4 linked regions of the Stegostoma tigrinum genome follow. The main gene of each other region encodes a partner of the protein of the gene in region 2 in a complex. Links are inferred from orthologs where the notes say so. Each region holds a gene or a part of one and is shown on either strand. Other genes may lie near its edges. The genes, in order: plrg1, cript, snrpd1 and sf3b5.

Evidence for each region.
Region 1: cript (region 2) and plrg1 share a complex: the UniProt entries of both Homo sapiens proteins name them as parts of the minor spliceosome. The link is inferred for Stegostoma tigrinum from reciprocal best matches to the Homo sapiens genes CRIPT and PLRG1.
Region 3: cript (region 2) and snrpd1 share a complex: the UniProt entries of both Homo sapiens proteins name them as parts of the minor spliceosome. The link is inferred for Stegostoma tigrinum from reciprocal best matches to the Homo sapiens genes CRIPT and SNRPD1.
Region 4: cript (region 2) and sf3b5 share a complex: the UniProt entries of both Homo sapiens proteins name them as parts of the minor spliceosome. The link is inferred for Stegostoma tigrinum from reciprocal best matches to the Homo sapiens genes CRIPT and SF3B5.

The regions. Positions count from the first base shown.
Region 1 is NC_081354.1:53,942,215-53,949,890, reverse strand, and holds the start of plrg1 (pleiotropic regulator 1), read left to right. Parts: upstream 1-4,660; 5' UTR 4,661-4,797; coding exon 4,798-4,806; intron 4,807-7,182; coding exon 7,183-7,289; intron 7,290-7,676. UniProt on the Homo sapiens protein: Involved in pre-mRNA splicing as component of the spliceosome. Component of the PRP19-CDC5L complex that forms an integral part of the spliceosome and is required for activating pre-mRNA splicing.
Region 2 is NC_081362.1:68,477,498-68,485,427, forward strand, and holds the start of cript (cysteine-rich PDZ-binding protein), read right to left. Parts: upstream 3,022-7,930; 5' UTR 2,946-3,021; coding exon 2,930-2,945; intron 1,971-2,929; coding exon 1,905-1,970; intron 1,802-1,904; coding exon 1,747-1,801; intron 1-1,746. Other genes in the region: pigf (phosphatidylinositol-glycan biosynthesis class F protein), read left to right, coding at 6,337-6,567, 6,659-6,750. UniProt on the Homo sapiens protein: As a component of the minor spliceosome, involved in the splicing of U12-type introns in pre-mRNAs. Involved in the cytoskeletal anchoring of DLG4 in excitatory synapses.
Region 3 is NC_081355.1:7,631,927-7,639,251, forward strand, and holds the start of snrpd1 (small nuclear ribonucleoprotein Sm D1), read right to left. Parts: upstream 3,001-7,325; 5' UTR 2,880-3,000; coding exon 2,866-2,879; intron 1-2,865. UniProt on the Homo sapiens protein: Plays a role in pre-mRNA splicing as a core component of the spliceosomal U1, U2, U4 and U5 small nuclear ribonucleoproteins (snRNPs), the building blocks of the spliceosome.
Region 4 is NC_081362.1:94,718,322-94,725,409, reverse strand, and holds sf3b5 (splicing factor 3B subunit 5), read right to left. Parts: upstream 3,010-7,088; 5' UTR 2,893-3,009; coding exon 2,632-2,892; 3' UTR 341-2,631; downstream 1-340. UniProt on the Homo sapiens protein: Component of the 17S U2 SnRNP complex of the spliceosome, a large ribonucleoprotein complex that removes introns from transcribed pre-mRNAs.

The sequences.
Region 1 (7,676 bases), on a different chromosome or scaffold from region 2:
CCCACTCAGGCCCATTTCCCTATAACCCACCTAATCTACACATCCCTGAACCCTGTGGGCAATTTAGCAAGGCCAATCCACCTAGCCTGCACATGTTTGGACTGTGGGAGGAAACTGGAGCACCCAGAGGAAACCCACGCAGACATGGGGAGAATGTGCAAACTTGTTACAGACAGTTTCCCAAGACTAGAATCGAACCCGGGTCCCTGGCGCTGTGAGGCAGCAGTGCTAACCACTGAGCCACCGTGCTGCCCGATGTTAGCCATTTTTTGAAATAAGTTTCATTGCTAATTTGTACCTATTTTCCTTTTCAATTTAATTGTTCTGGTGTCTAAGAAATTGATGTTTGTGTATTACAGCTTTGAGTTTAATAGATGGTTGATTGGGTAGATTTATGAATTCTTCTAAGAATGCTTCAATGTGTATCTAAATATGCAAATTTCAACATATATATACATAGAAGGAATCGTTACTACATGACTGCATCACTTAATAAATGAGTTAGCGAGAATGAAAAATATTCTCTGTAAACAAAATGTAATCTCTGAAAGTCAAAATGTAGCCCTTAAAAAAGGATATGAAAGGAAAAGTTCATGTTGGTGTGGGGCCTAGAAACAGAAGCAGGACCAGGATTTCTCTTTCTAGCCCTGCTGTTGAGCCCATTTGCTATGCATTAGTATGACTGCAGAATAGTTTGGGATGAGCTCACGTTTGGAGAGAGTGGTCAGTGGGTGGCTGGCCAGAAGAGCACTGGAGTAGGATGTAATAAAGGTATGGTGAGTGTTTTAGCTGTAGGGGTTTGAAGGCAGGGACACGTGGTGAAGTTAAAGTGGTGAGAATAGCTGGTTTTGTGTTAGAAAGGATAAAGGTGGAGGTTCACGTGCATCCAGTAGATCATAGAGGTTTGATACAATCTCTTTCAGCCTGAAAGAGTGGTCTGGAGTGAATTGAAATTGAAAATGGTGGAATAGAGGTTATGTTAAAGGCTGAAAACAATGACTTCAGTCTTAGTGGTGTTTTCTACAATGAATCAAAACTCATTTGAAACTGCATGTTATACAGACATTATGACAACATAGAGGAGGTGGAGGGTTTGACAGAATTGGTAGAGATGCAGAATTAGGGGTCATTCATGTTTACTTAGAACCTGATGGTTTGTCTTTGAGTGATGCTACTGAAGGACAGCATATGGATGAGAATTAGATGCTGAAACCAAAAGATACCCAGGGAGTCTGAAGTAACAGCCTCCTCCTTTTATTTTCATTATGTAGTTCCTGAAGAACCATCAGGATTGCACATTACAGGAGGACTTGAGATTAAACTTTGACTCGCTGTAAATGCACTCCTAGTTAAAGAAATATGGATGGGGATATATGGTAAAGGCAATTGAAACACTATATAACTAACAGCATAAGAGAATTTTGTTTACAAAAACGTTCCAGTGACACACTATTCTAAATACTTAGCTTTCTCAACATTTGGTGAGGCAATAAATTAAAATTGATTGGAACACAGGAATAAATGGACTGCTATAGTTTTGATTGTAAGCAGCACTTGAAGAGAAGGTAACTGAAAACATAAGGGGAGGAAACCTCTTTGATCTATAGTATAATGCTGACTGTATTAGTTTCACTCTTGTAGAAGAGCTAAGATAAAATGCATCTATAAAGCATCTCTGGTGACCTCAAGATGTCCCAAACAGTGAGACAAATAACCAGATAACTATTTCCTTGACATTGGTTAAGGGTGAAGTTGTTTCCTACATTGTTGAGGCAGCAACTTTTACTGCTCTTGGTAGATGCAGTACAATCTGTCTGAAAACTCAGAGCATTTGTTTTCTTTTGCAGCAAATCAATAGGGAACGGAAACCATCTTCAGTCTGATTCCCAGCTGTTATGAATGATCTTCTCAATTTGTTCGTTGCTTGAAGAAAGAATGCATGCCTTTTACTGATCAATAAAGATATTTTACAGGAAATATTAGACTGATTATGTTCTTTTTATTGGTATTTCAAAAGAAAGGAAGAGGTGGCAGTTTTGATCAAAGACACTGTTTAGCACTGAAAAGGGATGATATACTTGATGCGCCAATGATTGAATAAATACTTGAATAAAATTGCTATGATTTTGGGAAAGAATGTGATTGTGGCATTACTTCGATAATTCTTTCAAAAGAGCTGACAAACATGTAATGAGCTCATTAGCCTCCTTTATGATTACATTTTGCACTCTAAGTAGCTGAAGCAACAAAATTAAAAATGATAAATGTTAAACCACGATGTAAATAATGTGAGAGCTCTTGAAATTCTGCTAGGTAATAAATTAGAAAAGTACTCTTGATTTAATCTTGACTTAAAGTCGATCTGCCATTCCTCCTCCATGCTGATTGAGCCTTGAAAGGCTAATTTTCTTTGAGAACCATTCCCTGCCCTTTCTCCACAACCAGCAGAGCCTAATTTCTTGCCAGTCTCTGAAGTCTTACACCCATGAGTTTGTGTACTTTATGATCATATATCATCACTAAGATGAAACATTTGAATATTTGTTGCATTAACCTTGCATTAAAGGTAAAAGTTGCTGTGCTCCTGGGCAGAAACAACTAGTGGAGGGTCACCACATCTCAGGTGTGGGGAGAGGTTGGGAAGAAGAATATTTCATAGTAGCCTCAGCTATTGTGGTAATTGAAACGCATCGCCAGGTCACAGACCAGCCAACAGAGCAAAACCAAGCCCTTGGCCTTGGATAATGAGAGTGATGTTTCAGTAGCTCAGGCACAATAAGTGCAATTGGAAACTGAAATAAGTCCTTGAATTGATATAGACTGGATATTGGAAAGTAGGATTGTCTTTGGAGTCTATCATTAACAGAGAGGAACATTCAGGAAGCACTAACATTAGGATTCTCCACGAAATAGAGAATAACAAAATAGGGTTGACGCTAGAAATGGGATAGAAATACATATAAAGTATAATATGGAAGCAGACTTTTAGGCTCACACTCTCTATGTTGGCAGTTACCATCAATTCAAGCAAGCAAACATGTTTTGGTCAGCTCTAGCACAGGAGGTTAATGGGTCAGGTCCAACTGTTGGGGGGTCAGGTCTGCTGCAGTAGCAGATGGGAAGGAAGTGAGTCAGGAGGTAGGTGGTGTGTTTGTGTGGGTCCAGTTTCAGAGCATGAGGGGGTTGTTGTGGCATGGGGCTCAGATTTTGTCCGGTCTGGCAGAAAGGAAGGGAGAGCATGTCAGCTGACAGGTGATGAGGTGTCAGGTCAGGTCTCTGGTGCAGGAAGGAGGTCAGGTTTGGATCTGAAGAAAAGCGTACAGGTCCTGGGGCAGGTGACAGGTGTAAGATGTCTGGTAAAAGTGCCTTCAGAGATGTGTACGTAAGAAAGGGGTCTGTTAAATGGTTACTCGGAAGTTAAAACTGAGTCAGGTCCAGCAGGAGTTGAGATATTTCAGGTGGGCTAGAGGTCAGGCCCAGGTTGTGTCAAGAGAATATAGGGTCAGGTCCATCAGGGTTGGGTCACAGGGTGGAGCCAGAGCTGTTAAGAGTTGGACCGGTTCAGGACGGGATGTAGAGTTGGGTCTGGTTCCCATGGAGCTGTCGAGTCTGGCAGAGAGTGGGGTGTGGTTGCATTGTGTGACATGGGTGTGTTAGACCTAGTGGCATTCAGTAGTTGGGGTAGATGCTGTGCTGGGGTGGGGGTGTGAGGTATGCCAGGGGTTGCAGTGTTGTTGTTGTGGGGCTAAGTTTAATAGTCAGGCTTTAACATGGGTTTTTAATCTACCATTTCCTGAGTGAATATTAAGCTTAAATGAGCTCTCACAAGTCTGGAAGATTTTTTTTGACATTTCCAAGGGGAGACAATTATTCCTGGGAAATTCAACTTCCCAGACAATTCAGAGGCCGCTGCACTGATCATACTGTATGGTCTCCGTGCAAGTCCCGTTTGCTTTGCTCTCTTAACTATCTGACCATTGTTTGGAGTGGGGGGGGGGGGTAGAGTTGGGGGTGGGAGAAATTGTTAATATTTTAAAGTCTAACTGTTCAGCATTTATGACACAAATCTGGAGCAAGTAGGATTGAAATAAAACTTACTGGAGAAACTCAGCAGGTCGGGGCAGATCAAACGGCGGAGCAGACTCACGCCGAATTTTGCTCCTGTATCTTACCTTATAACAGCATCTGTGGAGAGAAAGCAGACTTAATGTTTCGAGTACAGTGGCCATTTTTCAGGAGTCAGAGATTTGAACTCTAGCCTTCTAGTCGAGAGGTGGGGACACTATCCCTGGCCCACTGGAACCTTCAGAATAATGTATCTGCTATAGTATCATATTGTGGCATGCTGCAAGTCCTGTTAAGAACTCATTTGAAAATAGGTACAGCCGAAAGCCTGCAGCACTGTTGATACGGTGATAACAAGATGTGGAGCTGGAGGAATAGCACGCCAGGCAGCATCAGAGAACCAGGAAAGCTGACGTTTCGGGTTTGGACCCTTCTGAAGAAACTGCTTACCCTGCCGTGTTCCCCCAGCTCCGCACCTTGTCATCTCAGACTCCAGCGTCGGCAATTCCTACTCTCCGTGGCTGTTGATACGGTGTACGGCCGCACGGAGTAAGTGGCGCTGTCGCTGGCGGACAGACAATCGCATGACAGGGCTTCTCTTTGTTATCCGTCCGTCTCCGGTTGGGAAGTGAAGGCTGCTGTTGCGATTGGGGAGACCGGTCACTCAGGAGGGCGGCGGTTTCTGCTTGGGATCTGGAGCCCGCTTTTTAAAAAGCGGTTCGAGTTGCAGCTATGGTGGAGGTGGGCGTCTTTGGGTTATGTTCAGGATTCAGTAGGAGGGAGTGTGGATGTGTCACTGTTCTCGGGCTGTCGGCCTTTGAGCCGCCAGTTGCTGGGTCTGAGCGTTCCGGCCTGGCCGCCTACCCCGCACAATAAAGCAAGGAAGAGGGTGGACCCCTCTCCAGGTGCCGAAGGAAATAGAAAAGGATGATGTTGGGGAAGCTTTTCCTGTTTGAAGGAAAGGAAGTTGACGTGATCTACAAAGTTCCCATTTTATAGTAAAAGTAAAATGCATGCTGGTTAAGTACAGTATAACTTGCTTACCGTCCCTTACTAGCTGGCATTTGTTCATTCAAAAACAATAAAGGAATAAAGATGCAGTGACCTCTTATCTTGCATGCCTTTCTAAATTATTCAGCTTTTGGCTTTAATCAGTTGTATAATTACGGAAAGTTTGCTGTTGCGATTTCTTTTCTCCCCCTCCCCATTTATCTGTTTCTCGTTGCAAATTAGAATTCGTCTCAATGAGTCTTGTTTTGTACGCCCGTGTATATGTGATAAAACTTAAACATTCCAACCTATCTTTGTTAATATAGAGGAACGCGTGGACTGTCAATGAAGTGTTTAGAATTTATAGAGATGAAACGGAGTAGCTGGTAACTTTGCATATTTGAGATGTGCGGAATGATGGAGAGTGGAAGATATGACTTACAGGAGGCTTATAAAATTATGTAATACAGTATTCAATAAAGTAGGCACCATAAATGTTAATTAGGAATGGGCACTTGTGAGAAAGTGTCAAAGTCATGTAGGAAAATACATTAGAATAGAAATTAGGGTGCACAATCAGAACTGCTCATTTTATGGAAGGGCATCTATATGAGATGAATTTCCTGTTCCTGTGTAATTTCTAATTTTCTCACTCCATGACTATTCAAATGTGTAATCCTGAGATAAACTGTCAAAATTCTGGAAAATTTATGCTACTAGCCTACTATGTAAATTTTTCATTATGAGGGAGACTTTCCATTGGTACCATTTCCAATTAACTTTTCTGATCTTGCTGCAGTATGTTTGAAACTTAAGTTGTGAATTCCATCAATTTGTTAATTGGTGTTTTATTATTGAACAACTTTAATATACCCATGTAATAATTAGGGATAACAACCTTTTAGTGAACAAGTTGACAGAAGACTTGGTATAAATATAGCTATAAATTATATGCTTGATAAGAAATGTGTAGTCATTACCACAAAACACGAGGTGGTGACATGAAATGAGCATTGAATTTTAGTTTCCTTCACAGAAGATATATACGTTAAAGCTTAAAAGTTTAGAAACTTTTCAAACAAAGTTACAATTATTTTAGACAACATATGAAGTGGAATAAAGTTTTAGGTCTTCAGTTGACCTGCATTGTACACTGTTACTCATCTGCAGTCTACTGTCATGAGAGAACTTGAAAGTGCTGAATATTCAAAATAAAGCAACAGCTATTTAAAATAGAGATGAGGAGGTTTTATCTCTAGGGGTTTGTGACTCTTTCGAATATTCTACTGAGGAGCACTCTGGATTCAAAATCATTGACTGTATTCAGGGTGGAGATACAGTCTTGAACTACAGAATGGTGGGGTCAAGAGTTATGGGAAATGAGATGAGCCCAGATCAGAGCAGCCATAATCTTATTGAATGGTGTAGCAGGCTCAAGAGGCGATAAGGCCTTCTCCTACTTCTGGTGTTCTTATGAGCTGCAATGTGTTTTGTTTCTGTGCTTTAATTGTATGTAGTGCTTGTTAAAGTCAAGAAAGTCAGTGGTGGGGAATGAATTTCAATTGCCCTAGAACACTCCAGTGATAGTACTGAGCATTTTCAGGTTAGCTACAGGATGATCAGGAGAAGAATAAAGCTATTTTTGACACTACTCCAGCATGCTTAACTTTAACAACAGAATCCCAGAAAGTGAGAATGTAATGGTTTGATGGTGTCTGGTCTCCAGGATGACTGCCATTCTCACCAATTGTGGATACCAATTTCCTCTGTGAAACATTTTCAAGGGCAGGTGGAAGTGTTTTGTGATTTGGGCCTACTGTCACTAGAAACTGCCCTGCACGTGTCATATGGCGATTCATGTGTTTTATTCTGTTTCCAAGAGTAAATGTCATTGTGCTGACATACTGTTTCACTTGGCCCTATGAAAACATTTCTTGAAGTGCCTTGCAGGATATCTTCTAAGGTTACATGGCATGTTGAAATGTGGAAATATAGAAAGGATCAGTGTATTTTGTTTAGCAATTCCACCTACTATGTCATTGTTTAGTTCAATTTAATTATTTGATTAGTTGTTACAGAATTGGAAGTTCATACATAATTCAAAATTGTTTTTTTTCTTTTTGGCAGGAGGTGCAGAAACATTCTGTACACACACTGGTGTTCAGATCCCTGAAAAGAACCCACGACATGTTTGTTAGCGATCATGCTAAACCTATTGCAGTAGATGAGAAAAGGTGAGTGCTTTAGTTGAGCTTGCCTCGTAATAGTTGGTTACAGAATGAGTATCTCATCAGATACAATGCAAGGGGCCCAGCTTCATTACAGCCAGTGTCAAAGCCTCAAGTGTTTTATGTCTGGCATATAATACTTCCAAATACTTCAACCTGTGTTATTTCCCATTGCCATATTTTCATCTTGTCTGCTGAGACCACTTCTTATTTGTAATAACTTGTTTATTCTTACTATGACCCTGCACAGCTTTCACTCTGTTGTCCAAATCCACACGACTCCCCAGGATCAGCAATATCGTCTGCAGGCATCCCATCAACTTACATACATGTGGCATCCATACTCTGCTGTATTGTCATGCCACTTCTCTGTATTCCATGTCCAGTTTTTTT
Region 2 (7,930 bases):
TTACCATAATCGACATACTATATAAATGCATGTTGATAATTTTGGGAGATTGCCTTTGTAAAGAAGTAGGTGTCATAGCAGACTTATATTTTGCAAAGTCTAAAATGACAACTTTGCTTTGTATACGCCATAAACTAAGTAAACTTACCAAGGCGGTTCACAGAATGCATTTGGATAAAAAACTACACTGACCCAAAGAAGATATCAAAAGAAAAGACAAAAAGCTTGGTCAACAGGGTGTTAAGATAGATTTTTAAGAATGAGAGACAAAGACATCTTGGAAAATATTTAAACAGGTTAAAGCCTCAGTGACAAGTGAAAATGCTATTAACAGTAGGAAATGGGAGATCTGCAAGGTCAAAGTTGTACGGGTGCAGCACTATTGGAGCTCAGTAGGTCTAGAGAAGCTGAACACAGATGGTTGAGGCAGAAGCAGAGGCCAATATTACATTGTCCTTATGATGAGCGCATATGATTTCAGAAGCTCATTCAGTCATGTAGAATGCCAAGATACAGTAGTCAGTGACAGGGATAGAATCAGAGGAAAGAAAACCAAATTTATCACACTGGGTCAAAGAAAATGGCTATAGTCTTTTCAAAATTCTAAAAGTGCAGTTTATTTGGGATATTAGATAGGCAGTAAGTAAAATGCTAATTTGGAGGGGGAATGCAGATACAATGGGTTGAATGACCTTTTTCTGCACTGCAATAATTTTATAAATCTGTGAAGCAGTAGTCAAGGTGGTCAAGAGTGATGTAGTGAGATAAAAATGGGTGTCACAATGTATGTGTGGAATTTTACGTTGCACCTTTTGTTATTGGATAAAACATATAATGTGGAAAAACAGATTTTTAACAAATCAAAAGAAAGTGAACAATTTAAGAACGTACATTTCTTAAGTCTCCATTCATTTATGAAATTATTCAACGCTGCATCTACAAATGACTTAAAATCAACAGGTTAGGAGAGTCCAAAACTAGAGGGCATGGGTTTCAGGTGAGAGGGGAAAGATTTAAAAGGGACTTAAGGGCAACATTTTCATGTAGACAGTGGCGCGTGCATGGAATGAGCTACCAGGGGAAGTGGTGGAGGTTGGTATGATTACAACATTTAAAAGGCATCTGGATGGGTATATGAATAGGAGGGGTTTAAATGTCTATGGGCCAAATGCTGGCAAATGGGAATGAATTAATTTAGGATATATGGTCAATATGGACAAGTTTACCCAAAGAGTCTGCTTCCATGCTATACAACTCTGTGACTAGGTTAAAATTTAAAATCCTTTTACCAGTTTTGCAAGTGCACCCCCCCCCCCCACAAAAGTTATATAATTACAAAACTGTTCAAGCCGCAATGCTTCTCAAAATCATAATTTAAGTAAAATATAAAAGTATATTCTAAATAAACTCAGTAGTAATCTAACAGGAGTCCCTTGTTCAATTCTTAGACCAGGCTGTTTGCTAACCTCAGTCAATCTAGTAGTCGGATCACTGCCATTAATCGATAAACAGACAAAATCCAAACTTTTACCCAGAAATCTCTGATGAAAGAACTATTTTTGCACAATGACGATTAAGTTACTATGACGCTAATGACAACAGCAATCAGAAGCTCTCAATGTCCAAGCTTATACATAAACACAGCCAGTCATTTCAGCTACTGGAGCGTTGCATGTACCTGCAGAAACTCACATGTATCTTCCACATTTACAGACACTATCTTTGAAAACTCAGTATTATACCAACCTTGCTTTTTTAGAAGTCAACACCTTGTTTTCATTGATCTTGCGGCCGCCACTTTCTGTTAAAATGCATTACAACTTAAATTAGAATGGCACGCTCCAAATCAGTATAAAAAATTTAAATCCATATGCAACTATGTAGCAACTGAATTTGGTTAGTACCCATCGTGTTCCTTGATCCATCTTTCCAAGTATCTGGTGTAATAACTCTTCCCAACTTCTTTTCACCTACAAGAACAAAACAATAAGCAATAACTTAAATAAACCTAGAGAAAACAATAAAAAAAATTACATTAATTTACCAGGAATTAGATAATACTAAGGATACGAACTTTTGATTACAAAGCTTAAGAGACCTGTACACTCAGATTAGTACCCTTAGAGCAGTCCAGCACCCCTTTAAATACAAGATTCCTAGTTATTCTTTCATCACTGCTTTAATAACAGAAAACACATGAATTAACATAATGGGTAATAAAGTGTGAAGCTGGATGAACACATCAGGCCAAGCAGCATCTCAGCAGCACAAAAGCTGACGTTTCGGGCCTAGACCCTTCATCAGAGATGAAGGGTCTAGGCCCGAAACATCAGCTTTTGTGCTGCTGAGATGCTGCTTGGCCTGCTGTGTTCATCCAGCTCCACACTTTGTTATCTGGGATTCTCCAGCATCTGCAGTTCCCATTACCTCTGATACAATACTAACGTAATGGGGTTGGGGAACCAAAGAGACAATGTCAGAGCTGTTATACGTGATATTTTATGTGTTCCTTTGTTCTGAGGAAGGGCCACTAAACCCAAAACACTAACTCTATTTTTCCCTTCACAGTTGCTGCCTGACCTGCTGAGCTTTTCCAACAGTTTCTGCTGTTGTTCCTGTTTTATGTGATGATGGCGATGGGAGGGACAGAATATTTGAAGGAGAGGGTCAGTGGAGGATGGGGGGGGGCGCTAGGAAAGGGTGGTCAGCAGTTCATTGGGAATAGGGAGAGACGAGGTGGTTCTCCGGATAAGATGAGCCCACAGGGAGGACGGGGGCGAAGGAAACGGAGAGGCAGGCGAGAGAGAGTCTGGGGCTAGGAGCGGGGCCCAGTCTGGAGCGGCCACAGCCTGAGTGAGTGAATGTGAGCGGCCTCACCCCCAACCCTCAGCCAGCCCGAGCCCACACCCAGGTCCCTGTCCCCACTCACATTTCTCACACACCATCCTCCACCGCCACCGGCCCCCACTTCCGGCAACAAACCAGCTCAAGCGGAAGTTGTCTCCCGGGTCTTAGTGCAATTCCAGAGCAGAGACTGAGGTCTGCTGTGGATATGCCTGGGAGCCCAGTAGTAATCATTACAGGAAAATGTTTCATACAAACTAAGTTTATTAACCTGCACCACACTGCTAAGAAACAGAACACGAGAAGTATCCCAGCAAGGTGTTGTACTAAGAAATTCTGGCTGGGTTTAGAAGTTGCTTCTCAGGGTGAAGATCCACCTGGAGGTGTCAGAACTATCTGCTTTGAATGTCTGATCCGGTTTTTGTCCCAATGTGGGTCGCTTATATTTTAAAACATTTTAGAACAAGCTAACGGTTTTTAGGAGCACAGTTACATACGTTTATTTTTAAATTCTGTGTTTGCATTTGAGATGTGACAATTATGCTTCTGGGATCCAGTTCTGAAAATGAAAATGCTTTTAAAGTTTATGAAATTCTGGCCATGGCTAAGGCTTAGAGTCTTAAATTGCCAATTTATTTTTCTTTCCAATGTGCTACATTTCACTCACACCTAAAACTGTGGACAGTATTTATAGAACATAAAACAATACAGCACAGAGCAGACCCTTCAGCCCTTGATGTTGCACTGACCCGTGAACTAATCTAAGCCCCTCCCCTACACTATTCCATCATTATCCATATTGACAAAGTTTTTTTAAAAATCTTTTACCAATTCCAATTTAAAACTAGTTTCCAGACTTTTTTTAAAAAAATTACATGACCCTAATCAATAGTTTACACTGAATTTTTACCTCCAGGGTTAAATGGCCTACTGCTGTGCTGTAAATGTGTATGTGTCTAATGCAATAATTTAACTTCTCTAAAAGCACATTACTGAAGTCATTGAGTTAATAATAACTGGAAACAACAAGCCAGGCAGCATTGGTGGAGAAACTAGAATTCACTCGAAACATGAGATAGCAAGAATTGCAGATGCTGGAGGAACACAGCAAGCCAGACAGCAGAGGAACAGGAAAGTTTTACACTTGAAACATGTCTAACTGTTCTACTTGCCAGCAATGTCACCTGAACAGTATGTCATTTTGTATTTTTATTTCCATTATCCTATGTGCTGACCCTCACCAACTGTGGCAGTGCTGATTCAGGGCTTTAATTGTCTGTGTGCCAGTATGCCCTCAGGTACACCGATCCACAACACAACACAACATCCTCATGATAAAACTAATGCTGGCCTCCAACACATCATAGAATCATACAGTATGGAGGAGGCCTTTCAGCCTATTGTGTCTGCACTAACAAAAATCTATTCTAAATCTACACTAGACTCACTTTTTAAACACTTAGCCCACAACCTTTTTTTAAATGACATTTTGAGTACTTTTTAAAAGATTGTGAATTTCCCCAGCTTAACTACACTCAAGACTTCCACCAATTTTGGTTAAACAAAGTTTCCTCAAATCACCTCCAAACCTCTTGCCATTTCTCTTAAAATTATGTTTTCTTGTTATTGACCTTTCAACTAAAGGGGATAGCTTTTATCATCTTCCTTATCTATAGCCTTCATAATCTTAGACTCCTTATTTCAGGTCCCCTCTGAGCTTTCTGTGCTCTAAACAAAACAACCTGAACATATTCAGCTTTTCTTAATAGCTAAACTACTCCAGCCCTGGCAGCATTGTGGTGAACCTACTTTGTACCACCTCGTCTGCAAGCACATTCTTCCTGGCCTACAACAGAACTTGTTCTGGATAGAACTATCGCAGATACCTGCCATTCTCCCATCAACATAACCTCCCCTGGATACTGACCCCCAATTAAATCTAATCTGGAGAAAACTATCACAGGTACACCCAGTCCTGAAACACAGCTTAATTTTGAATAACACTAGCTGCCCTTCAACACAACCTCCACCAGACAAATCTGGTCCCCAAATGAACACCACCTAAATAAACTACTTCAGCTACCTGCCACCTACCCCCAGAAAGACCTGACCCCAGTCGCTTCCTCCCCTGGATACACCTGGCTCCCAGCTACCTCCAGATAGTAAAATGTGAGGCTGGATGAACACAGCAGGCCAAGCAGCATCTCAGGAGCACAAAAGCTGACGTTTCGGGCCTAGACCCTTCATCAGAGAGGGGGATGGGGAGAGGGAACTGGAATAAATAGGGAGAGGCGCACCAAAGATGGAGAGTAAAGAAGATAGGTGGGGAGGTGGGGAGGTAGGGAGTCGTCCCCTCCCCCCACTGCACCACACAACCAGCCCAGCTCTTCCCCCCCCACCCACTGCATCCCAAAACCAGTCCAACCTGTCTCTGCCTCCCTAACCGGTTCTTCCTCTCACCCATCCCTTCCTCCCACCCCAAGCTGCACCCCCATCTACCTACTAACCTCATCCCACCTCCTTGACCTGTCCGTCTTCCCTGGACTGACCTATCCCCTCCCTACCTCCTCACCTATACTCTCCTCTCCACCTATCTTCTTTACTCTCCATCTTCGGTCCGCCTCCCCCTCTCTCCCTATTTATTCCAGTTCCCTCTCCGATGAAGGGTCTAGGCCCAAAACGTCAGCTTTTGTGCTCCTGAGATGCTGCTTTGCCTGCTGTGTTCATCCAGCCTCACATTTTATTATCTTGGATTCTCCAGCATCTGCAGTTCCCATTATCTCTGATACTATTTTACCTCCAGCCACTCCCTCGTCTGGATACACCTGGCTCCTAGCTACCTGCCACCTGACTCCAGCCACTCCCTCTCCTGGATACACCTAGCAACCAGCTACCTGCCACCTACCCCCAGATAGACCTGACCCCAGCCACTCCCTCCCCTGGATACACCTGGCTCCTAGCTACCTGCCATCTCCCCACAGATATGCTTGACCCTAGCCACTCCCTCTCCTGGATACACCTGGCTCCCAGCTACCTGCCACCTGACCCCAGCCACTCCCTCCCCTGGATATACCTGGCTCCTAGCTACCTGCCCAGTCGATGTAACCATTCCAACGTCGAAACGTTGTATCGCAAACGTCTTACGTAAGAGGTCCCGCCCTCTCGAAATGATTGGCCTAAAATTGCCGAATGGACAGTAGCTGTGGGTCTGATTGGTAGGATGATGTTGCCAGTTTCCAAGATGTTTCCGCCTGTACCGTGTGTGTGTGTGTGTGTGTGTGTGAGAGAGAGAGAGAGAGAGAGTGATGGTGGGTAAGGTTGGGTGTGCAGAGGCCCGACTGGAACCAGGGAAAGGGAGATTTCAGATGCAAAAATACTACAAATTATCACTTGACTGAGAAGGCTAGTGACAGTACAAGACTGATGTGTTACTTTTGGCAGTAGTCGCTAACATTTTGCACAGACGATTCGGTAACAAAGCAAGGAAAAAACATGAAGGATTTTGAGTTAAGAGGCATGTTTTCGGCGCATATTATTCTGGTCCTGTCTATCGTTTTTTCTACCTTGGCCCCTTCTTTATTTTTGGACGAGTTTTCTGTAATTGGAACCCACTTGCAATGGTTGTGTGTTTGCTCTGCCACTGTTGCTGCTGTGACCATTGTTTTGTATTTATTGCTCGCAACGAATCCTACCTCCAACAGGAAGAATTCCTCCAGTGGCACGGTAAGATCGTGAAGGATGTTTCATATTCTTTTGATATTCGGTTTTAATACAAAGTGTGAAATAATTTGTATTTTCATATATTGTTTTCCAGGTCACAAAGATCTTCAAATCCTGTCTGTTGTTCTTTATATCCTGTATAGTATTTCATGGAATTTTAGTTTTATATGGAGCACCACTTCTAGTGTAAGTATACAATTAACTGGAATTTTGTCAAGAGTTTCATTCTGAAAGGGTATTTATGGCTTTTAGTTGAGAAGAAATTGTAGGTGACTGATCTCTTTAACATGCTCAATTTTCCAGGTGATGTTGGAAACTGGTGGATGACTGTTAAGTGTAAATGCAAGGAATGTAGCAACTGTTATATACAGGCATCTTGGACAATTAAGTCAATACGTCTTCTTCCACTCTCCTTCGTCTAATCCTATCAGTACACCACTTGAATCAATACAGTTAAAAGTAGCAAATCACGTCAACAAAGACATTTAAATAAACCAAAATTAAACAATGAAAGCACTGGTGTTCATTTCTGTTGTAGGAATAGAACTTAAAAGCAGACAGAAGTAGTTAAACTTGTACAGAAACTTGGTTAGACATTTATGTTGCAAAAAAAATTGAAACACAGAAGTTGCACAAATGATTCTCACAGATAATACCGGAACTGAGGGATTAAACCTATTAGGAAAAGCTAAATAAGGCTGTGCCATTAACTCAGACAATGTTCACGTGGTAACTTTAGTGATGTCCTTAAAGTTACAAAGATGTTTAATTCAGTGGTTGTAACAAAAATGTTCTTATTTGAGAGACAGTGTAAAACTTGAAGTGATGAATATAAGGTAGCTTCTAATAAATCAAGTAAGGAATTCAGAGTAAATTTCTATAGCCAGAGAGTTGTTTAAATAGGCTATGATGTGGAACATTTGAGATAGACACCTTGAAAGCTTCTAAAAGAAAGCTAGTAAGGGTATATGGAAAAACAAAATAGAAGAGTGTACAGATAGGATTAGATGAAGTAGAGTGCTAAATTTCTGTGCTGTATATCTTATACAGAACGTAATGTACCTTGTGTATTTATTTTTGCATTTGAGAATTTGAGTTTGAAATTTTGATTTCAAGTTGAGAATTGTGCATTTGAGGATCTTAGATGCAAGAGAAGCTAGATGATATATGCAAAACCAGATGAGAAACTACGGTAATGAGAATATAATAGTCCTGGAATAAATTTGCGGCTTTTAAATTGCTTTAAAAGTGTCCTAAGCTGGATATGAAAGAGTTTTTGACATATAATGATGAGAGAAAGCAATGAAAAAGGTGGTGGCATCACTGTTAATTAAGTTGACATAAGTTCAGTACTCAAGGATAAGAT
Region 3 (7,325 bases), on a different chromosome or scaffold from region 2:
GAACCCACATCCTCAGAACGTCAGCTTGAGGTTCTGGATTACTAGTCCAGTGATATTTCCATTATTCCACCACCCCGTCCAATGAATTTAAAGATCCTTGCCGTCTCTTGCGTCATTATGGCAATTCAACTTTCCTTGTATCGGATGATTAAAATGCAAGAAATTAAAATTCAAATTCTACCACTTGTATGCAAAATAGAATTCAACAGATCTGCTAATTTGTGGACTTGCACATTACTTGGGTGGTGGGTCGGGGGGGTGAATATTCTTTATTCCTCCATGTCAATGTCAACCAGTTAAAGATCTAAATTTATGTAGGTTCTTTGTTTCTGCTGCTGGTGCACATCAGCACATTAACCCCCATATCAGCGCAGATCACAAAATTCATTACTTACAACGTATGGATAAAGAGAGAAGGAACACCACATCACAATAACATCAAGACTGAAGATTTAGAATCTGAGAACCAAAACTACATCAACCCAGTACAATACACTGCAGTTCCTTGTTCCGTACTAGAGAAACAACCTGAGGAATGAGAGGCAGGTTTTAGTAAAGCCTTTGAAAAGGTTCCATACTGTAGACTAATTAGTAAAGTTTGATCACATGGGATTCAGGGTGAACTTGTCAAACGGATGCAAGGTTGGCTTAACTGCATAGGCAGAGTATGATGGTGGAAGGTTGTTTCTTGGACTGGAGGCCTGTGACCAGTGCTTCACAAGGATTGGTCCTGGGTCCATTTTTGTCTGTCATTTATATGAATGATTTAGATGAGAATGTAGAAAACATGGTTAGTAAGTTTGTGGATGACACCAAGATTGGTGGTATAGTGGACAGGGAAGGAGGTTATCTAAGGTTACAAAGATGATCAGTTGGGTCAACGGGCTGAAGAGTGGCAGATGGAGTTTAATTTGGAAAAACATGAGGCACTGCAGTCTGATAAAAGAAACAAATGCAAAGACTTATATAATTCAAAGTAGGACCTTGGACAGTGTTGTAGAACAGAAACACCTAGGGATTCAGGTACATAATTCTTTGAAGTTTGCATCACAAATAGATACAGTGGTTAAGAAGGCATCTAACAAGCTTGTCTTCATTGCTCAAGTCTTTGAGAATGAATTTGTGATGTTACACTGAGATTGCAGAGGACATTGGTGAGGTCGCTTCTGGAATACTGTGAACAGTTCTGGTTTCCCTGTTATGAGAAGGATATTATTAACCTGGAGAAACTTCAGAAGAGATTTACCAGGATATTGCTAGAAATGGAGAGCTTGAATTATAAGGAGAGGTTGATAGGCTAGGATATTTTCCACCGGAAAATAAGAGATTAAGAGGTGACCTTACAGAGGTTCATAAAATAATGAAGGGTATAACTAACGTGAATGACATGTGTCTTTTCGCTGGGTGAGAGATTTCAAGGCTAGGGGCACATTTTTAAGGCGATGGGAGAGTGATTTAAAAAAGACAGTGGGAGTGATGGATGTGAGTACAGAAGCAACATTTAAAAGACATTTAGATAAGCACATGAATAAGAAATGTTTGGAGGGATATGGGCCAAGCACAGGCAGGCGGGACTAGTTTAGTTTGGGATTCTGGTCAGAATAGACAGGTTGGGCCGAAGGGTCTGTTTCTGTAATGTATAACTCTAAGACAGGGGTCCGGGACAGAATCAGCATTGGCAGACTTCACAATCCTTTCAAAATCACAATTCATCCAGGAGTTGTAGCCAACCAGACACAGACAGTGAAGAATGTGTGATGGGCAGTGCTTGCTGACCATCCATTTGGCACCACTGAAGTTAGGGAGGCAGCGTTGTCACGGTGACTACTGTATGCTCGGAAGTCGAAACAGGCATCTCTGGCTGACCACTCGCCCTGTCACGGGCATCGTCAGGAAGGGCAGGTGCAAGACTGGGCGCATGTGTGGAGGAAAAGGCCAACAGTCTCACTGAGCTAACAAAGTGTGGGGCTGGATGAACACAGCAGGCCAAGCAGCATCTTAGGAGCACAAATGCTCTCGTCTGCACCTATCTTCTCCTCTATCCATCTTCAGTCTGCCTCCCCTTCTCTCCCTATTTATTCCAGAACCCTCTCCCCACCACCCTCTCTGATGAAGGGTCTAGGCCCGAAACATCAGCTTTTGTGCTCCTAAGATGCTGCTTGGCCTGCTGTGTTCATCCAGCCCCACACTTTGTTATCTCAGATTCTCCAGCATCTGCAGTTCCCATTATCTCTGTCCTCACTGAGCAACTGTCCAACTGTGGGTGAGTGAGACCACAGACAATTCTGGCTAACCACGAGTGTTGTCTGAGAGGAAAGAGGGTAGAATGGTTATTGTGTGGGAGACACTGAACCCTTTGGATGTACAGCAATGGGAATGGGGAAGGGAAGTGGGGGGGTGGGGAAGTGATGCACTCTCAAATCAAACAGTGGGACTTTGTCAAATCAGAGAGATTAGTTTAAGAATGAAAGCGCTGTCCATTTTTAAATGCTTTTTAAACTGGATTACAGACAAAGGGAGAGCTGAGTGAGTCTGATCCATGATCAAGGTGCTCAATCAGAACAGCAGCAGCTCCTTCCACACTGTAAATCCTAGGAGAGGGCAGAGACTGTAGCCTCACCCACCACCTCTCCAGGATCCTAGGCCTCGAAGCCCCGGGCTGGCCCCGTGCCTGCGGCCAGATCTCCCGCAGCCTCACCCCGGCCGGTGCAGCCTGACTAGGCCCCAGGCCTGAGCTGGGCCGCGACTTCTCCATCATCTCCTTCGCACCGAGTCTCTCCCATTCCGTTCCCCTCCCCATACCCTCCGTTTCGGTAGGTATAGGCCCAGGTCCACCCATCCCCGGCCTCCGATGCCTCCTCTTACCGGACCAACTTCATGATGGAGGCAGATTGTTCCCGGGGCCGCGGAATGGAGGCGCCACAACCGGCCCTGCAATAAGCATGCGCGGAAGGCCGGCAGCCGGCTCCTACTACTGAGCGTGCGCAGTGCGCCGGCAGCCGTTTCCTCTAATTGGGCGCCGAGTCGGCCGTTTCCAATTGAGCATGCGCGGAATGCTGGACGATGTGACGGTGCATGCGCAGAAAGCCAGATAATGAAGAACGGCGTTTGCAGGTGCTCCCTACTGCCCCCTTTAATAAAATATGGAAATAACTCCCCGCCCAGAAAAATCAGACCAGACTTTACAGCACAGAGTCTCCCTCCTTCACTCGCTGGAATTCAGAAGAATGGGGGCATTTCATAGAAACACAAAATCCTGCTGGTACTGGACAGGCTAGATGCAGGATGATTATTCCTGACGTTGGGGAGGAGTTCAGAATCAGGGTTCACAGTCTAAGAGTAAGGGGTAAGCCAGTCAGGAATGAGATGAGGAAGAATTTCTTCACTCAAAGTTGTGAACGTGTGTAATTCTCTCCCACAGGAAGCTGTCGGGGTCAGTTCATTAGATATATTCACGAGGGAGGTGGACGTGGCCCTTGCAGTTAAAGGGATCAAGGGGTATGGAGAGAAAGCCAGAGTGGGATACTGAGATGGCGTGGTCATATTGAATAGCAGTGCAGGCTCAAAGGGGCAAATAGAAAACAATCAATCACAGGAGTAGAGGAGATAATGGGAACTGCAGATGCTGGAGAATCCAAGATAATAAAGTGCAAAGCTGGATGAACACAGCAGGCAGAGATGCTGCTTAGCCTGCTGTGTTCATCCAGCTTCACACTTTATAATCACAGGAGTAGGCTATGTTTCTATAAGCAGTGTAAAGTATTTTTATTTTAAATAGCTTCCATTCTTTGAAAACAAAATCAAGAGTAGTCATTTTCAGCCTTTCTTTACTTTTGACATCTTTGGATAAGAAGCTTTGGTCCTGAGCATCATAGACCTTCCACTGAATGTGAACTTGTCATTTCCAATGCCCTTTTGCAACAGTGCAGTTTTCAAATATTCCCTTTCAAACAATTTTCTCAATTCCAATATAGTCAAAACAGCACCAGATTGAGGTCTACAAAATCATAAGGTATTGATTCGGTGGACAGCAAGAAGCTTTTTTCCCCCCCAAAGTGGGGGACTCAATTACTAGGGGTCATGAGTTCAAAGTGAGAGGAGGAAAGTTTAAGGGAGATATGCGTGGAAAGTTCTTTACACAGAGGGTGGTGGGTGCCTGGAACACGTTGCCAGCGGAGGTGGTAGACACAGACATGATAAGTGTCTTTTAAGATGTATCTGGATAGGTAGATGGAGGGGCAGAGAGCAAAGGGATACAGAGCCTTAGAAAACAGATGACAGGTTTAGACAGAGGATCGCAATCGGCGCAGGCTGGGAGGGCCGAATGTGCTGTAATTTCCTTTCTTCTTTGTACTTGCACCGAGTCATGTTTGCTGATACATGCTTTACATTTGGCCTGCAAGATGGGCAACAAAAAAAAGAGATCAACAAGGTTTCCTTGGCTAGCACTTTCCAAGACTTTGGCAGACCAGAGCTCGTCCACCAAGTCTGTTTTATTCTTTTCATGCTTTCTTTTCCCTCTTTCTATTTATCTCCCACCCCGGAGAGCTGGCGAGTTGTCACAGTGTTCGCTCGAGCGCCACCAGCATCAGGGTGAACCCAGCACAGACTTGTGTTTTTTTTTGCTCTCTTTCCCCGCTTTAGAAAGTCTGTAATGCTGAACTTTAACTTTATTTCTTTTTTATTCTAACTTGTATCTCGGCACTTTTGCATCTAAGATGAAAATGGCGACTTTGTACACTTTTCACTGTAATGTATCCCTCTAGTAGAGTTCATTTGACAATAGAACTTGATTCCCAATTCCAAGTGGGCCAACAAGATGTGCTGCAAAAAAAAAGCCAAAGATCCCCAGAGACCACCTTCCAAACTCTCATCCAATAGAAAGACAAGGGCAAAAACAAAAAGTTGCTGGAAAAGCTCAGCAGGTCTGGCAGCATCTGTGAAGGAGCAAACAGAGTTAACGTTTCGGATCCATTGACCCTTCGCTCTGTTTTCTCCTTCACAGATGCTGCCAGACCTGCTGAGTTTTTTCAAAATCTTTGTTTTTGTTCCTGATTTACAGCATCCGCAGTTCTTTTGGTTTTTAGAAGGACAAGGGCAACTGATACATGGGAACAACTTCACCTGCAACTTCAATTCCAAGCCACACAGTTTCAAGCCAAAACATTCTCTATCAACTCAAAGACTTTCTTTCAGAAGTTTCCTATGTAATGACAAAACTTATTACATTTTACTCTCATTTCTCTTTGTGACATGAGTGTAGTATACAAGTGGGGGACTTGACCGGGCAGATACGGATGAACATTCCCTCTTGTGGGAGAATCTAGAACTGGGGTCATAGGTTAAAAATAAGGGGTTTCCCCATTTAAAACAGAAATTGAGATTTTCTTTCCCACAAGGGATTGTGAAGCTTTGGAATTTTCTTCCTGTACAGGCAGTGAAAGCAGTGTGCCACCATGTTGGTATGGACTCGATGGGTCAAATGGGCTGCTTCCACACTGTAGTGATTCAGTGAAAAAACTGGTGTAACAATAGTGTGGGTTCTTAATCTGAAATGTTCCCTGGGAAGCTATGTAGATACACCTAACCTTTTAGGAGGCTATGCTCTGTTTCATTCACAGTACATGGGATAAGACATCACATTCTGCCTAATGTTGGACAGTAATTTAAAATGCAGCCCATCAAAAGTACTTCACCACAGCAGCTAGCACAGTGCTGATCAGGAAAACTGAGAAGTGCAGCTCATTACAGAAGTTATACTCTGCTTCAAGTGAGAGCAATTCATACAGGAATTTAAACCACATAGTTGTAGAGTCAACAGCGGAATGCAGGTGGCAGATCCCCCAGGTTGCAGCAACTCATTAGTAACACAAAATGAAGTATTTCAGATTTCCAGCACCTGCTGGAAGAACTGAAAGATAAGTGAGAAAAACAGAAATATGAGCTATTTTTCTCTCTCCACAGATGTTGCTGAACTTCTCCATAAATTATTTTTTACAATATAGTAATGTTGTTTCAGTTCAATGAATTAGGACTTCTGACTGAGGCTCTTCGACTCAAAATGCTAAATCTATTGCTGTCCTGTCAGATGCTGCCAAAACAGCATTTAGCTGGCTATTCTGAAATTAAGATTTTTAAAATATACAGGACATAGAATGACAGATTTTAAAGAAAGAACTGCAAATAAACAAGAGAACTGAACATTACACCAAGTCTCTTTACTGTCCAAATGTAGCACGCTGAATTCAAGTTAATATTATGAAGAAATAAACAATAAAAATCTTTATTTGTATATCATTTTATTTATTACTCCAAAAGAGGAGGAACATAATACAGAATAGGGCAATGGAATGGATATAGTTGGAAAACTGACAACAGTTTCACTTGTATAAATAGAAGCTGCTCCCAGCCCAGTCCCGTTTGTAAATACCTGAACTAATCTCTTATGACAGCTACTGTAGTTCCAATTCTGAAAGACAATTCTTGATCTCAATCTGCAAAATACACTGATTGAATTGCCCTCTGTATCAGTGATTGCGTGACAATTTAAAGGCATTTTGCAAATTCATTGCTCTGCTCTAGTTTTAATCCCAATTTGTATGTCTCTAATAATGAAACAGACGGTAGCATTCATCCCCATTTGGACAATTTAAAGTGATATTTCAAGGTATTAAAAAATATGAATGGATAAACTAGGCACTATTCAGGGGAATATAGGGTGAATTAGAGTACATTGTTTCCCAAAAGCAACAAAAGCCAGAAAACAATTCCACTGAGTATTTTAACAGTTTGATAACACCCAAGTATAATACTTCAAATGGAAGAGCTGCACAAGCAAATGTAAAAATTAGAAAAAGAACAGGACTTCAAGTATATCATTACACTGTCATTAAATGAAAATAATGCACAACTCAGGAAAATCAAAATATACAGTTAATTCTGTAACATAATACAAATTCCAGGTTTGTCTAAAACTCGCTGTACAGTTTTGCATGTACATCAAAGCTCCCTTACCCCAGGAGTTATTAGGATGCAGACAGATGTCAAAGCGGTTTCAGGTTTAAACACCGGACTGAAAGGACTGAGGGCATGCAGCAAGTTGATTTCCAAACTTCTCTACAAAACTTTGAACTTAACAGCTTAAAATCTGGAAATAATAACTCATTCCACAGATATGTTACTGCTCTGTTACTATTTCATGATATCTATATATAATTATATATACACACGCAGACAAGCTGACTGGAATAGTAATAGGCTTGCTGGATTTGAACCATTACCGTATGTGAAAAGCCCCCACCCCTGCCCTCCCCATCCCAGAGATT
Region 4 (7,088 bases), about 26 Mb from region 2:
AAATTCTCTGCCTCAGAAGGTGAAGTAGGTTAGGGCTATTGAATGTTTTTAAGGCATTTTAGATTTATGTTCGGCAAGAAGGCTAAGGTAATTGGGATATTGAGAATGTAAATGAATGTGTGCAAGAATGGAACAGCTCAACCATGATTTTTTGAACAGCAGAGCACATTTTGAAGGGCCAAATGGCTTATTTCTGCTTCTAATCCATATACATATTTAAAACATACACAATAAGGACAAAAGATTGTGTTCTGTAAATTCGGTGCTCTTTGACCGTGACCATCTATTTACCTAGTTATCTCACATTTCAGAGGAACAAAAAATCAAAACAACTAAAGTATTAAAAAAAACTGTCCATTTATTGAGCCACAGATCAGTGTAATGGTATACATTTAAAGCAAAATATTTTGTTTCTCCAGTTTAAACCAAATTGTTTACGAATTACAGTTTGTACTGCCCAGCAAAAACAGAACAGGAATAAACTGGCAACACAAAAAAGGTACAAAACCTTCCCTTCTGAATAATGAGACATTTTCTAAGTGACCTAGTCATGGTTGAGCAGGTTTCTGATTTTGCTGAACAATCGCTGCTAAAACATTACTCCATTCACTCGCAAAAATCCCCTGGAACATTATCCAATAAATCACCAAGTTTTAGGAAAATCACTTGATGGGTTTCTCTTTATTTCCAAAATTTCAATCCTTCTAAAATCAGTAACATTCTAAGTAAATTCCCCTTAAATAAAAAATATAAAGCTGCCATGCTTTTATCATGCATGGGTTTCAAGGAATCTTTCTACTTTGTTGACAACCACTTATCCAAACACTTGCCAACATAATGGCTTTTTCTATAGTTCAGTTGTTGGGGAGAGGTTATCAACGCTCTCTGTAGATTCATATAGTTTTACTCCGTACGGCACCCCATATACCATTTACGATGCAATTCATTCTTGGGAGTTTTTCCGTGCAGCAACCATCCGTGTGAACATTGGGTACTTCTGTAATCCTTCTTTAAGATCTATGTGACAGTAGTGGGCTTCGGTTTCAATATCAGCAGCAACCTCCTAGGTGAAGTCAAGCAGGGAGCTCCTCACTGATGGAGGTGTATGGAGACCATTCCATTTAACTGGGGAAGAAAGCAGATAGTCTTTGTAAGATTCCTTTCCTCGGTTGCTCAAGATTATGTTGCCAAAGTGAGTGCAAATCACAAGTAATTCACTGGATGGGTGTTCAGAACATCTTGAAACAGTGAAATTTCCCTTCTGTTGACAGTGACAAAGTTTCACTTGTGAGAGCAAGTCAGATGGACTGGCCATTTTTACAGTAGACTTTTTGTGGCCAGTGACCATTTTATCTATAAAGTAGTTCAGTTCAACAAAAAAGTCATTTGCTTTTGTAAAGCAAGATGATATTTCAGATGAATAACAAAAGTTTAAATCAAATGCATGTCCTTGTGCTGGCAGAGCCCCCAAGAGAAGTGTGGACTCCCTTGCTGCTGGAGCAAGATGGGTGGTGGATTCCTTTGCTGATTGTAGAGCGGAAGAGGGTGGCTGAAAAACGACCTGACTGGCTGGGGAAGGCAAAGGTGGATCCACTTAGAGGGGGCCAGGTACAGTTCTTCAAGTCATATTGGATTTAAAATATTAGCTGTTTCTCTCCCCTTAAATATGGCCAGATCTGCTGAGTTTCTCCAGCATTTTCAGTTTTAGTTTCAGATTTCCAGCATCCCACAGTATTTTGCTTTCATTTGTGTACAGGAATGATGCCATTTTGGAAGCGGATTGGATCAATCCCTCAGTCATTGACAACGACTTTGGATGTGCTGATGGCAAATGGGAGGGCCAAAATTCAAGTCCAAGTTTTGGAGGGAAAATGGAGCACAAATAACATTTGTACCCTAAACTCTCATCACTCCTCTTCAATAGCCATAGAACAGCTCATCCTCATAACCCAGCCTTCACAGGTATGCACTTCTGATCCAACCATCCAAGTCTCTTTTGTACTTCACCTATATCTCCCTTCAATCACCAATAGGCCACTTACTTCACCCAAATCCCTCCTGTTACCCAACTGTCCAGCCACAGCCCAACCTCTAAACATCTCACACTCCCCCAGCCTACACCTGTAACCATCCCATTTATGGTATCTTTCTTATCCTCCAACTGTATACCCCATACATGGTCTTCTTCCTCCAACAATATCCACCACATACCTCCACACATATTGCAATCACACTCCCCATATTCCCTCCTTATCCTCCACCCATGTCCCTGCACCTAATTACACTCATTACCATATCTATACCCCAAAAATCCACCAGACATCAATACTTATAGCTCCCAAATCCTCATTCCTCCCCACATACTCACTTGTATCTTCCCAATTCCCACTATATCCCCTTCACCCAACCACACTTATACCACACTCCACTCCCTTCACCCAGTCATACCTATACTCCTCCCATCCCCATTCCCACCCCATCCCATCCTTCACCTATCCACAGCCATGCCCCCCAATCCCCTTCACCTATCCACAACCCTACCCCACATCTCGTATCTCCATATCTAATCCTCACCCTTCGCCCACACCGCACCCCAGCAACCCCCCCCCCCCCCCCCCCCCCAAGGCCCTCTTAGGCCTCCTCGGGCTTGTCGGGCGGGGGCCCACACGGCTGTAGCATCTTCTCCATGAGGTTGAAGCGGACTCGGGCCTTGGTCTCGTTCTCGGCCACGGCGAAGTAGTTGAGGAGGTCGAAGTGGCCCATGTACGAGGCGTACGAGTCGCGGTGCTGGTTGACGAGCCACTCCCACTTGGTGGTGTCGGCGTGCCCGGTGCCGATGTACTTGGACTGGAGATGTTCCAACTGGCTGTGGATGTTGTAACGGTCCGTCATCGCGGCTCCGGCTCTCCGCTTGAAAAAAGATTCGAATCCCAACCGTCAACCGCCCGCCGGAGGAAACCTAACATGGCCGCCGTTACCAGGGTTACCGCCACGTGGCTTTCCGGGAAGCTGCAGGTACAATTAAATGAAAGTAACCGTTCGGGACGAAATTGTGATTTTGTCTCATGTGAAGAGAAATCTTGGTAAATTAGGGCTATTAAAAATGTTTACACGATGTTGCGCAATCGCCTGCGTTGGAGCTCCGCCCCCTACCAGGCGACCTTTACAGTTATTTTTTGGAATAAAAAAACAACGCTTACCGAAGAAATACTGACAATCGTATGCTTGGTTCTGACATAAAACAATCGGTTCTTTAACAAATCGGCGTTATTAAATTGATAGACATTGACGCGCAGGCGCATTGGATGCCGGGTTTGAGGCCCCACTGATGCTTTTAGCACCACCAGGTGCCCCCTAGATCGGAGGACCGCTGCTATGTGGTATTGCACTCTCAATTTATTGCATTGCAGCGACTAATTTTGGTCCATCGCCAGATACATGGAGTAACAATAATAAATAAAATAAAATTTCAGTTAGTGATTTTTATAGAATCCATAAAGTACAGAAAGAGGCCATTCGGCCTATCGAGTCCATAAGACTATAAGACATAGGAGTGGAAGTAAGGCCGTTCGGCCCATCAAGTCCACTCCGCCATTGAAATCATGGCTGATGGGCATTTCAACTCCACTTTCCTGCACTCTACCCATAGCCCTTGATTCCTTGTGAGATCAAGAATCTGTCGATCTCTGCCTTGAAGGCATCCAACGTCCTGTCACCACGGACCCTCTTAAGAGCACCCCGCCCAAACCCATCCCCTTACCCTATCCCTATAAACACGCATTTTCCATGTCTAATCCATCTAGCCTTCAACATCCCTGGACACTATGGACAATTTAGCAAGGCCAATTTATCTAACCTGCTCATCTTTGGACTGTGGGACGAAACCGGACCACCTGGAGGAAACCTACGTAGACATAGGGAGAATGTGCAGACTCAACACTGCGATGTCCCTGGTACTGAGAAGCAGCAATGCCAACCATTGTGCCACCCTTGATCAGTATCATGAATAGGCGTACCTACATTGGTGCAATAAAGAACTGCCACTCGTTTGCAATAAAAATCAAACCATCTTCAGCCACTTCATCAATGACCTTACCTCCATCATAAGGTTAGAACTGGGAATGATTGCACAATGTTCAGCACTGTTCACAACTCCTCACTTCTAAGCAGTCGGTGTTCAAATGAAACAAGATCTGAACAGTATTCAGGTGTGATCTGACTAGATCTAGATAAAATCTTCAAAACGCCATCAAGGATGCCAAGAGACAACACCCGAACTAAACCAGAGGTCCCAGATTAACCACAGAAACACATGTTGAATTTGGCAAGACTTACATGATTTAAGGGGCGACAAAGCAAAGTTGAGTACAATTTCTGAAAGCAATACATTTCTCCCCAGTGAGCTCATTTTAAACAACAGGTTAGTGAAATGATGTCATCTGTCCCGACGATCTCGGGATCACCTGTACTCACAGTCACCACTGCAGATGTCAGATCAGTGGCAAATTTGAGGTGATGCGTTTTGGAAGATCTAATTCAAGAGCGAACTATACAGTAAATGGAAAAGTCCTGGGGAAAATTGATGCACAGAGAGATCTGGGTGCTCAGGTCCATTGTTCCCTGAAGGTGGCAACGCAGGTCAATAGGGTGGTCAAGAAGGCATATGGCATGCTTTCCTTCATCGGACGGGGTATTGAGTACAAGAGTTGGCAGGTCATGTTACAGTTGTATAAGACTTTGGTTTGGCCATATTTAGAGTACGGTGTACAGTTCTGGTTGCCACATTACCAAAAGGATGTGGATGCTTTGGAAAGGGTGCAGAGGTGGTTCACCAGGATGTTGCCTGGTATGGAGGGTGCTAACGATGAAGAGAGGTTGAGTAGGTTAGGATTATTTTCATTAGAAAGATGGAGATTGAGGGGGGACCTAATTGAGGTCTACAAAATCATGAGGGGTATAGACAGGGTGGATAGCAAGCAGCTTTTTCCCAGAGTGGGGGATTCAATTACTAGGGGTCATGAGTTCAAAGTGAGAGGAGGAAAGTTTAAGGGAGATATGCGTGGAAAGTTCTTTACACAGAGGGTGGTGGGTGCCTGGAACGTGTTGCCAGCGGAGGTGGTAGACGCAGACACGTTAGCATCTTTTAAGATGTATCTGGACAGGTACATGGATGGGCAGGGAGCAAATGGACACAGACCCTTAGAAAATAGACGACAGGTTTAGACAGAGGATCTTGATCAGCGCTGGCTTGGAGGGCCGAAGGGCCTGTTCCTGTGCTGTCGGTTTCTTTGTTCTTTGTTCTTTGTGTCCTTGAGAGTTACCCCCTCAGAAAATGACTGGTGCATATGGGGTCCCTGATTGTGAACTGAGATCCTGCACAGACCAGCTGGTGGGATTATTTGCAGACGTCTTAACCTCTCCTTACTATGATGTGAGTTCCCACCTTCTTCAGGAAGATGACCATCATCCTGGTGCCAAAGAAGAATCAGGTCATGTGCTTTAATGACTGCTGCACTGATTCTGACATCCATCATCATGAAGTGCTTTGAGAAGTTAGTAATGGCTCACATCAACTTCAGCCTCCCAGATTGCCTTGGCTCACAACAGTTTGCCGACTGTCACAGAAGGTCCATGGCAGACACCATCTCCCTGGCCCTACATTCAGCCCTGGAGCATTTAGATAATAAAGACACCTACATCAGTCTCCTGTTAATTGACTTTAGCTATGCCTTCAATACCATAATTCCAACAAAACTCATCTCCAAGCTCCAAGATCTAGGAGTCTGCTCTCCCTTCTGTACCTGAATCCCTGACTTCCTGACCTGCAGACTGCAATCAGTGAGGATAGGTGACAACCCCTCCACAATAATCCTCTATAGTGGGTTGGACCTCACACAACAATGAGACAGAGTACAGGAAGGAAATAGGCAGTTTAGTGGCATGGTGTGGAGACCACAATCTCTCCCCCAATAACAGCAAAATGAAAGAGCTGGTCTTCGACTTCAGGAAGCAGAGTGGAGGGCAGGCAACTGTCTGTATCGATGGCGTTGATGTGGAGGTGGTCGAGAAGGTCAAGTTCTAAGAGTAAATATCACCAATGATCAATCCTCATCCATCCATGTTGATGCTGGCCAAACAAGCAGACCAACACCTCTGTTGCTTCAGAAGGCTAATGAAATTCAGCATGTCCACAATGACTCTTACCAATTTTTATAGAAGTACCATAGAATGCATCCCAACCAGAAGCGGCAGAGCTTGGTATGGCAACTGCTCTGCCTAAGCCTGAAAGAAATTATAGAGAGTTGTGAGAGTCAAAGTCGTGGTTCTCCTTGTCCATCTTTGACTGGGACAACACCAAGATGCTGGGACAGGTTCAGCAGAGTCAAGCACGAAAATTCCTGGAAGCCTGGCACTCCATGGCACTCCACATTGAACTTGACCCCATATACATTCTACTGCGGAGGAAACCCGGAAGTGAGGCAGTTCATCGCAACGGAACCCAGAGTTTAAAAGCCAGGCGGGAAAACACACACTGATGCTTCATCAGAGGCTGCACTGAGGATGTTACCCAGCACGGTAACGAAACATCTGCAGAACAACAAACCAGCTCAGCGAGCCAACCAACCTCAACACCCACAACCCGAGCTACAAATCTACTCCAAAACCTTAGATTCTGGTGTTATCATTGACCAGAAACTGAATTGGACTCACAACATAAACATAGTGTCTACAAAGGCAGGGCAGACACTTGGAACACTGCAGCCATAACTCATCTCCCTAAAGTCTATCCACCAGCTACAAGGTACAAGTCAGGAATATGCTGGAATACTCCCCACTTGGCTGGATGGGTGCAGTTCCAACAACACTGTCTGGTGAGTGACACCCACATCCCATGATTGAATGGAGAAAACGCACCCATTAGACCTCACCTGGGGTATTTGTCAAATTGGCACTGTCCTGCAGAAGCCGGTGTAGAATCATAGAATCTCTACAGTGCAGATCGAAGCCATTTGGCCCATCGAGTCTGCACAGACCCTATGAAGGGCACCAGGTGGTTATTTGGATATAAATAGTATGGGCCTATGGGA